2 linked regions of the Daphnia pulex genome follow. The protein of the gene in region 1 purifies or fractionates together with the protein of each later gene. This does not show direct contact. Links are inferred from orthologs where the notes say so. Each region holds a gene or a part of one and is shown in the gene's direction. Other genes may lie near its edges.

Region 1 (4,160 bases):
TAATCTGTCAGCTGTGCCAAAAGAAAAACACATTTTTCAGATGTCATATAAATGGTAAGAACACCAGACAATCACTTTGCATTAAATGATGACATGCAGTCTTTCAAGCATTCCACCACATATATGTAAATATTAAATGTTGCTTGTACTTTATCAAATTAAGAAAAAAATTATTTTCACAATTAAATTGAGTAAAACCTATAATTGGAATTAGTTAACCGACATATCGTAAATTCAGAATGAATCTGTGATGTTCATGCATGCCTTATTTGATAGATAGAATTATGATGTAGCCTAAAACTTGATAGCAGTTTGGTGGGAATATTCAAAAATTTGAGCTGCATTCTGATTCAACACATTAAACCCCCTAACGGTGATTTTTTTTTCTATTTCTACAATATAAATGGAGCAGAGTCTGCTTAGGAGGCAACAGACAACTATCTAGGTTGCATCATGGGTTGCATATATTCCGAAAACCAAACGTCCTTTGACATTGACAAACCTATCCAACTCTCGGTGCAGCCAAGTCGTGCATATCACTGTTTTTTTTTTCTATTTTACAGCTTGATAGTTGATACGATACAAGAGAGGAAGCAAAAAGAAGTGAATGCCAAAAATATGCACAGGTCACAGATTCTCACCATTGGCATCGTCATTGCCCTGTAGTCTGCAGGAATTCTCCTTCCGGGGGCTACTCTAAATTGTAATAACTGTCTGCTGATTTCCTCATACAAATTCGATTACCTAATTTACTACTAAGAATTCATTAAAAAGTTTATTTATTGTATTCAATTTTGAATTTGCTCAGTTTTTATGTAGAACTACTCACTACCCCTGGATGATTAGCCAGGGAGTCAGGGACTGCTGTCAGAACCACTGTACCGTTATTTTATTGTTTTATTTTTTTCACTTCCTTAGACTTTGAGTATACATCGTGCAATGCCCTTATATCAGTTAAGGATAACTTGTAGAAATATAATTTCCTTTGTTAATACGATTCTTCCCAGTTCCTACCTACGCATCTAACAATCGAAAATTTCTGTTTGGATGGCGCAGAAGATGCCTCTAGAACTAGGAGAAAAAGCTACAGTTTCTTATGAAGATGGCGTTTATGAATAGCTCGCTAGGGGGTGAGGGTGGGGGCGGGGTGGGGTCGGGATCGTCCACCAGAGAAAAAAAAAACAATTGCGGGATTTTTATTAAAAGTCAGATTTTTTCGATAAGTTGGAGAAAAAATTTCGTTATCGTTGTTGCAAAAGTTGCTATAGAATATAGATTTATCGATATCGATGTTTATTTCCTCCAATCGAAAAAATACCACCAAATGACTTACAAAAAAATAGAAATAAAACATACTTCTTTGTTTTTTTCTTATCTAGTATCTAGCTCTATATAGACTCCGCCATACCTTAGAGCCATTCCAACTCGTGCAGCTGATTAAAGAGATTTGAAAATCGTTGAACAAGAAGAAACGAAAAGGGTTTCGTTAGTCGGTTGTTGGCAGCTGTAGACGGGAGAAGTGTTTTCATTTCCTACCCGGTGCGTTAGCAATAGACTTGTGGACTTTCTATTGTTAGATTTTTTTTTTCAAATTGCTTCATGACATACCGATTTTTCACGAATCAAATTTGTTACCTTAATTTCGTCACCATTGATTTGTTTAAATCTTTTTCTTCGATTCAATGGTCTACAATGGTGTGGTGTTTCATTGTGCGGTTAGTTTTCAATGCCGAATAGGCGTGAGTGTTATGGACTTCGATCAACCTTTCGCCTTATTAAAAGGCGCAAAGACGTGTTGAAATATTAAACAGATCAATCTACAGGTCATTCTCATCATCATGTGGCAAAGTGGCGGTATGGGCGGAAGCGCCCAAGGTGCCAAAGTTCCAACGTCGGAAAATCCAATAACAAAGATGTTAGCAGGCCTAATATGTCGACGGGCGAGTGAAAGGTAAAAGGTTTCACTTAATCATTTTAAATTTGCGTTCCTGTTTAAATGATCAAATGAAGATGTTAACCTACTCATAGCTTAGTTAGGAAACTATAAAATTTTTTAACACTATAGCTGTATAATACAAAGTGATATGTGTGATAAGTCAATTAAATTATGTCTGCAATCAGAAATTTACCATATATTTCTCCTCTCCTTCTGACAACAACACGACAAACACAAGGAAAATGAAAAATCAATAACGTCCATAGTGTTTCATAAATGATACTTATGGTTTAATAAGTAACCCGTAGATAACAGTTCAACTGCATTCTTGAAAAAAGTGCAAAACAATGCCTAATGAAAACAAAACAAAGTTGTGACCTGAAGAGTGCAAATAAACTATTGAATCATTGAGTTCCTTAATCTGTTCCAGGGACAAAAAGTATTGCTTTAATCATAGGTTATATCTAGATTCAGTCATTCGTTTCTGGGTGACTTTTTGGTAGACTTCCCGCCTGTCCCATGTGTGTGCGTTTAAACGCGTGGTTATGTCCTCGGTTCTTCTCGCCTCCACCTTCCAGTGCAACTGCTAATTTTAGGACTGTCTCTGAAATACTCGTATCCTTTTTTTGGCTTGCGAACAGATTCAGAGGTACGGTACGAAAACTACAAGGTCCCGAAAAAAGATCGAGCACGCACGCAGACAAGAAATAAAAAAAGAGAGAACCAGATAGCAAGGTTTCAACAGGAAAAACAATCACGCTCATTTTTCCTTTTCTATTCGTACATACAGCCTTTACTCTTGTCACTTTTAAATGAGTTAGATTAGCTAGGCATAGAGAGAATTTCGTGTATTAAGAACCCAAGAATTCAGTGTATAAACCTCACCATAGTTAAAATCTTTCCATCATTTGGATACCGTTGTTTCCATTAATAGACGCTATGCTTAAAGGGAAACATTGATTGCGTTTCTCTACTCTACACTGTATAGCCTATTTATATCACCATATTAACAAAGGTCGGGCAAGTGCAGTATGCGTCTCATAAATAAAATCGAAGGAATTTTATATTTGCTTCGGCAATATAGACGAAACAAATCTGATATGACTGACAACCGCATCATTTAATATTATGTAAAACACAACCGTAGCTGGATTATTTTGCTAGAATTCCTAACATGGGGCACTCTTTCTGTTACTATGTTTTGCAAGGCTGCCAGCTTTAAGTCTATGTTCAGTCAGATGTTGGTTGTCCTGACTACAATCTATACATCCGACTTTTTCCAATTTTGTAACTTGAACCGTGCAGCGAAAGAATTTTTATGCAAAAATACAACTCTGCGTTTTCATTCAAGATTTTTTTCAGCTTCAAAATTAGCCCACTGTTGAGGCTTGGCTGTTGACTACGGTTGACTACCTGAAAACTTATTTCTACTCTGATATACAGCCTTATCTACAGTAGCGTTATTCCCTTAAAGAATCACATCGATCAAAAACTGTCTTCAGCTTCTTCATGGAATTCAAACGAATAAAAAAGGAAGAAAAACAAAATAATTATAAATCGGGTTATCGACTTGTTATTTGGGTGTACGAATAAAAAATAAAAAATAAATGTATTTTAAATAATTTTTTTTATTTTTTATTTTTGGACTAAAATATAGGGGTTTAAAATGTTTTTTAGTTGTCCGCGGTAGGGTTTAAGAAGTAATCCTTATTTTTTCATTAATGTTGCTGGTCAGCACTCGATTGCCAACAAGATTGATAATAAACAAATCAATTGGGACAACACTTAGTTTTTCTTTTACAAATTCCAAAAATTCTTGGAAAATTTTGTGGAAAATCTTGAAAAAACCCAAAAAGCTAAATTTTTGAATTGAATTTTCGTTTTTTCTTAAATATTTTTCCCATTTTTATTTTTAAATTTTCCGCATTTTTTTTTTTTTTTTTTAACTAAAAATATGGGGGGTGTACGAATATTTTTCGAGTTGACAACTTCCCGTTATAAATATTTTATATCGAACCTATATTGACAAAAAAAAGGGACATCGGAAAACAAGATGCTAGAACAATTATATAGTGTGTGCTGGCTTTTTGTTTTTTAATTCAATATTACAGTATAAAGTAGAAAAATGGAAAAAAAATCAAATCGGATGAAATAAACAGCAAAAAATGAGACAGAAATAAGAAAGAGGAAGAAATATAAATGGATTAATTAATTTTTAGAAAAA
Region 2 (4,085 bases), on another chromosome or scaffold:
AATGATTATCAGATATTTTTAATGAAATGGGGACAACGATTGACGTCTACTTCGAGGAAATCGCCCGCTGCCATGGAAAATTGAGCATGGCGTGGGAGTGATGATGGATCAAGATCAGGGAAGGAAGACCCTCTGGTTACGTCAGCAGCTGATAAAGTATTGACGAACTGTTGCGTCCATGGATAAACACGAAAAGTCTCGACCCCCTGACATCTAAGAGGGAAAAAAGCGTAAACACAAAATGCATAAAGATCCTGTTGATCATCCCTACTTGTTCAAGACGAAGTTGGAGGCGAACAGCATGAAGAGACTGAACTCATTGCCTTGACAGCTGTAACCTCTTTTGGCTATCTCAAACGCCAGTCGTCCAAGTCCAGCACCGGGAACCAAAATTTGTACTTGTTCCGAGGGCCTGCAAATGGAAATAATTATTAATGAAAAACTTGTTTCAGCTAAAAGACTGTAATAATATGATAGTAACCTCTGAGCAGGTGGAAAGTTTAATTCAATTTCTTCAATAATGGGGTTATAGCACGCAGACCTTTCTTCCTCCCCATCTTTACTCCAGTCCCTTACAATTTGTTTCAGTGTAGATTGGACCTTTTCCATATCACTCATGGTTGGGTGAACCTTGGACTTGACCTGCGTAACATCAAACATTCGGCAAAAGAAATAAATCAAAGCAAAATTATTTATTTTAAGGAAAACATACTTGACCAGCATCGTGTTTGACATTTTCAAACAGCGTAGCAACATCTGCCGTGATAAGTTTGATGATTTCGTAGTTGTGCTCTACACAAGTCCTAATGTCTTCCAAGTGAGAACGATAGCTAGTGAGTAAAGTTTGATGGTGGCTGGGGAGAGACGAGACGTAAGCTTCTGAAGTGGCCAAGCGTTGCAACGAAAAAGACCTGGGATAAAAACATGTCAACCGCGAATAATAAACCACTGTAGCCGAAACCGTCGATCGAACCTGTAATAACGGAAAGCGTTAACGATTCTCTGAAAGTGTTCTTTCTCTTCGACATCGTCAGTAGGTCCGTTGTTCCCCATCATGAACGATGACCTATCCTATTCGTGTTATTATGACAATAAATATCTAAAAATTCAACCAAGAAACTCTGTTATTCCTCATCTATTTAAAAAGTTTTTCAACCTTTTCAAGTAAATTTCCAAAGAGCAGTCAAAAAATATGCTCAACGTTGTCACATCGTCATTTTATTGTCTGCATGTTTTTTTATCGCATTTTTATTTTATTTTTTAAAATCAGAAAATAAATCAAAATGGAGAACACGATTATCTCGTCATTGGCATTTATTTAAAAAATTGACAAGTGTGACACGGGATCTCTAGAGGGGTTATATATTAGCCGGACACACACTCGGAGATTTGCCATGCGCAATGGAATAAGGACGCGTACGAAACTGCTGCAGAACGCGAAGTCGCTCGACATCGATTCAATACGTTTTAGCCGTTGTAAAACACGCACTCTGGCACTCTCTGCAGCCGGGGCTTGTCGACTGCAGTGTCCCGGCTGCGTTTGATGCATTGCGGAGCTTTTGACTCTTGAGTCAGGTATAGAGCCGTTATATAGTCTTGATAGATCTACAGTGTAAAACTATACATAAACAAACCAACGAGTGTGTGTGTGTGTTACAAAGACACAAAGTCGCATCTAAACAACAGCAGAGAGCATTGTGAGAAACAAACAACAAGAATTATTTTCTTTGTATTTGAGCGTCTGTGATGCAATCATGAAGTGTCGTCCCGTCGGTGCAACCACATAACACACACACACATTCGTGCTGGTTATTTTGGATGTCGTAGAATCGCGCGAGTTGCTGTGCTGCAGTCTCCTCTCCCTTTGTGACATGTAAAACAAGAAAAATCCGTGTGTGTGTGTATGTGTGTGTGTGTGGGATTTTTTCTTCGACCGCATTTTCTGCTCACACCAAACGATGCAGGATCGCAATTTGATTGGGTTCCTTTCCGTCTTCTTCTCCATCACTTTGGGTTTGCCGTTTTCTTTTTAGTTGTTTTTCGATCCTGGCCAGCCAGCATTTTTTAAAGAGACTTTTCACTGCATCTTCCCCCTATAGAAGATGTGATCAAATTGATGATCGCCAATTGAGCTCTATATATAAACACGAGCATTTTTGATGATGCGCGCGCCTCCTAGTCTCCTAGCGAGTTGGGACAGGGGCCTATAAATAGGAGCGGTTCGCAAGGACTCACGACCTGTTTTCTCCCTTTTTGTAATTTTTGCTTTCACGAAAGGGGAAAATTTTCGGCTGGTGCTGTGGTTATCACGTGACGTGAAAAATACGATCCTTGCCAGCATTATTATTTTAAAAATTAAGTTATTGGCCGGAATTTTATTCGGGGAATGTCGAGATGATTGAAAAATCCATCAAGTCGTGGTGGATTTCATTCTCTTTTGTTCTTTTAGTTTGTCTGCAGGCCAACATCATCTCGGCCGAAGAGGAGTGCATAAGTATCATTTATTAACAAATTTTACACATTTTTAAAAAATAAATTTAATTTAACTTTGTGAAACAGACCGATCCGGCCGGACGATTTTGTGCTACGATTGCGACAGTTACCACAATCCGCTTTGTAAACATATCAATGAATCGGCTCCAATGCACGAACACCCACCTTTCAAAACTTGTAAAGGATGTTGTGTTAAAATCGTCGAACATCGCTACTCACGTACGTTACTTTAATAATCAAAATAATTGAACAAAATTCAGAAAATGATAATTTGTTTAAAAAATAATCAAAACTCAGCCAAGGAACGCGTGAGGCGGATGTGTACGGAGCAGCTGATTGTCAATTATTTCATCGTCGATCACGTCTGTCTGAAAGAAGGTAACAAACGCAAGGGGATGACTTGCTTCTGCGAGGAAGATTTTTGCAATTCGGCGATCTCAAGGCATCGCGATCTCTTCTGGGCTTATTTGGGCCTCGTCGCTGCTGTCCACCTTCTACTCCGGGTCGGATGATTTTTTGGCTTTTTTCGGGAATATATAAAACAATTCATTTTGTTTGCACTAAGTCACACCCACTCCCTTTTTAAATGAACAATGTAATAATATTAATAATTTGAATGCAAAGAAAAATACCACGCACAATAAGTCAACCCTGGCCATCTAATAACATCACGAAAAAATGAAAAAAAAAATCAAGCCTTAAGTGCTCAAAAATCCAGACAAATGGGATGACATACAATTCCGGAAAAAATGGCTATGCTGTGTGTGTGTGCGTCATCGTCGGCTACCCCCTCAAAACTCTCTCAATTCTCATTTTTGATAAGAAAATAAAAACCCCTCCAAACTGTAGAGAAAATGTTGTCAGTCAACACACAAATCCACTTTTGATGATGAACGGCGGTTTACACACAGCAGCTGAATGATTCACTATCCTTTGATTTGTTATCCCTTGCAGCCATTGTTAATAATGGATCCAGTCAATAATCTTTTTTGTCCATTTTTCAAATCTCTCTTTTCATCCTTGTTGTTTAGCCGTTTAAATGCCGAATTTTAACTGGCACGTCATCCAAATACATGCTAACGTCATCAACCTGGTTGTTCTTAATTCCTCTCCGATCGCCTAGACGTAAGTAATGATGCCTCAAATTAATTCAAGTGATTTTTTCTTTTTCTCTTTTTTGTTTTGTTTCGAAGAAATGAGAGAGAGAGAGAGAGACATCGCGGATTATATCAATAAATAAAAATCTTCCTTCCAAAAAAAAAATTAATAATAATAAACACGGCAGTTAAAAAAAAAGAAGGGGAGAGGGAAGGATATTTGAATAAATGAAGTGAGGCTGAAAAAAGATCGAAGGAGGAAATTTTAAAAAAATAATAAAAAAAAAATCAAATTACACACAAAATGCCACGAAAATTAATTATAATAATAAAATTTTGGAGAGATAAGGGGGGTGGAGGCGATTTTTGTTTAACAAAAAAAAAGAACACTCACGCGCATTATTTTTTTAAAAATTAAAAAAAAAAAGGTGGGGTAAATAGAGGAATGAAATTCTACTACGAAAAAGAAAAATTGTCCTTTTTTTTCTGATGATG

The links. The genes of interacting proteins can lie anywhere in the genome.
Region 2: the proteins of potassium voltage-gated channel protein Shaker-like (region 1) and protein quiver-like purify together in Drosophila melanogaster (affinity purification with western blotting, with the first as the bait; 3 studies listed by BioGRID). This does not show direct contact. The link is inferred for Daphnia pulex from reciprocal best matches to the Drosophila melanogaster genes Sh and qvr.

The regions. Positions count from the first base shown.
Region 1 is NC_060026.1:6,145,345-6,149,504, forward strand, and holds the start of potassium voltage-gated channel protein Shaker-like, read left to right. Parts: upstream 1-1,210; 5' UTR 1,211-1,838; coding exon 1,839-1,951; intron 1,952-4,160.
Region 2 is NC_060028.1:9,728,158-9,732,242, forward strand, and holds protein quiver-like, read left to right. Parts: upstream 1-1,364; 5' UTR 1,365-1,958; coding exon 1,959-2,013; intron 2,014-2,449; coding exon 2,450-2,494; intron 2,495-2,559; coding exon 2,560-2,712; intron 2,713-2,790; coding exon 2,791-3,005; 3' UTR 3,006-3,582; downstream 3,583-4,085. Other genes in the region: carnosine N-methyltransferase-like, read right to left, coding at 51-213, 272-412, 482-642, 713-911, 974-1,056.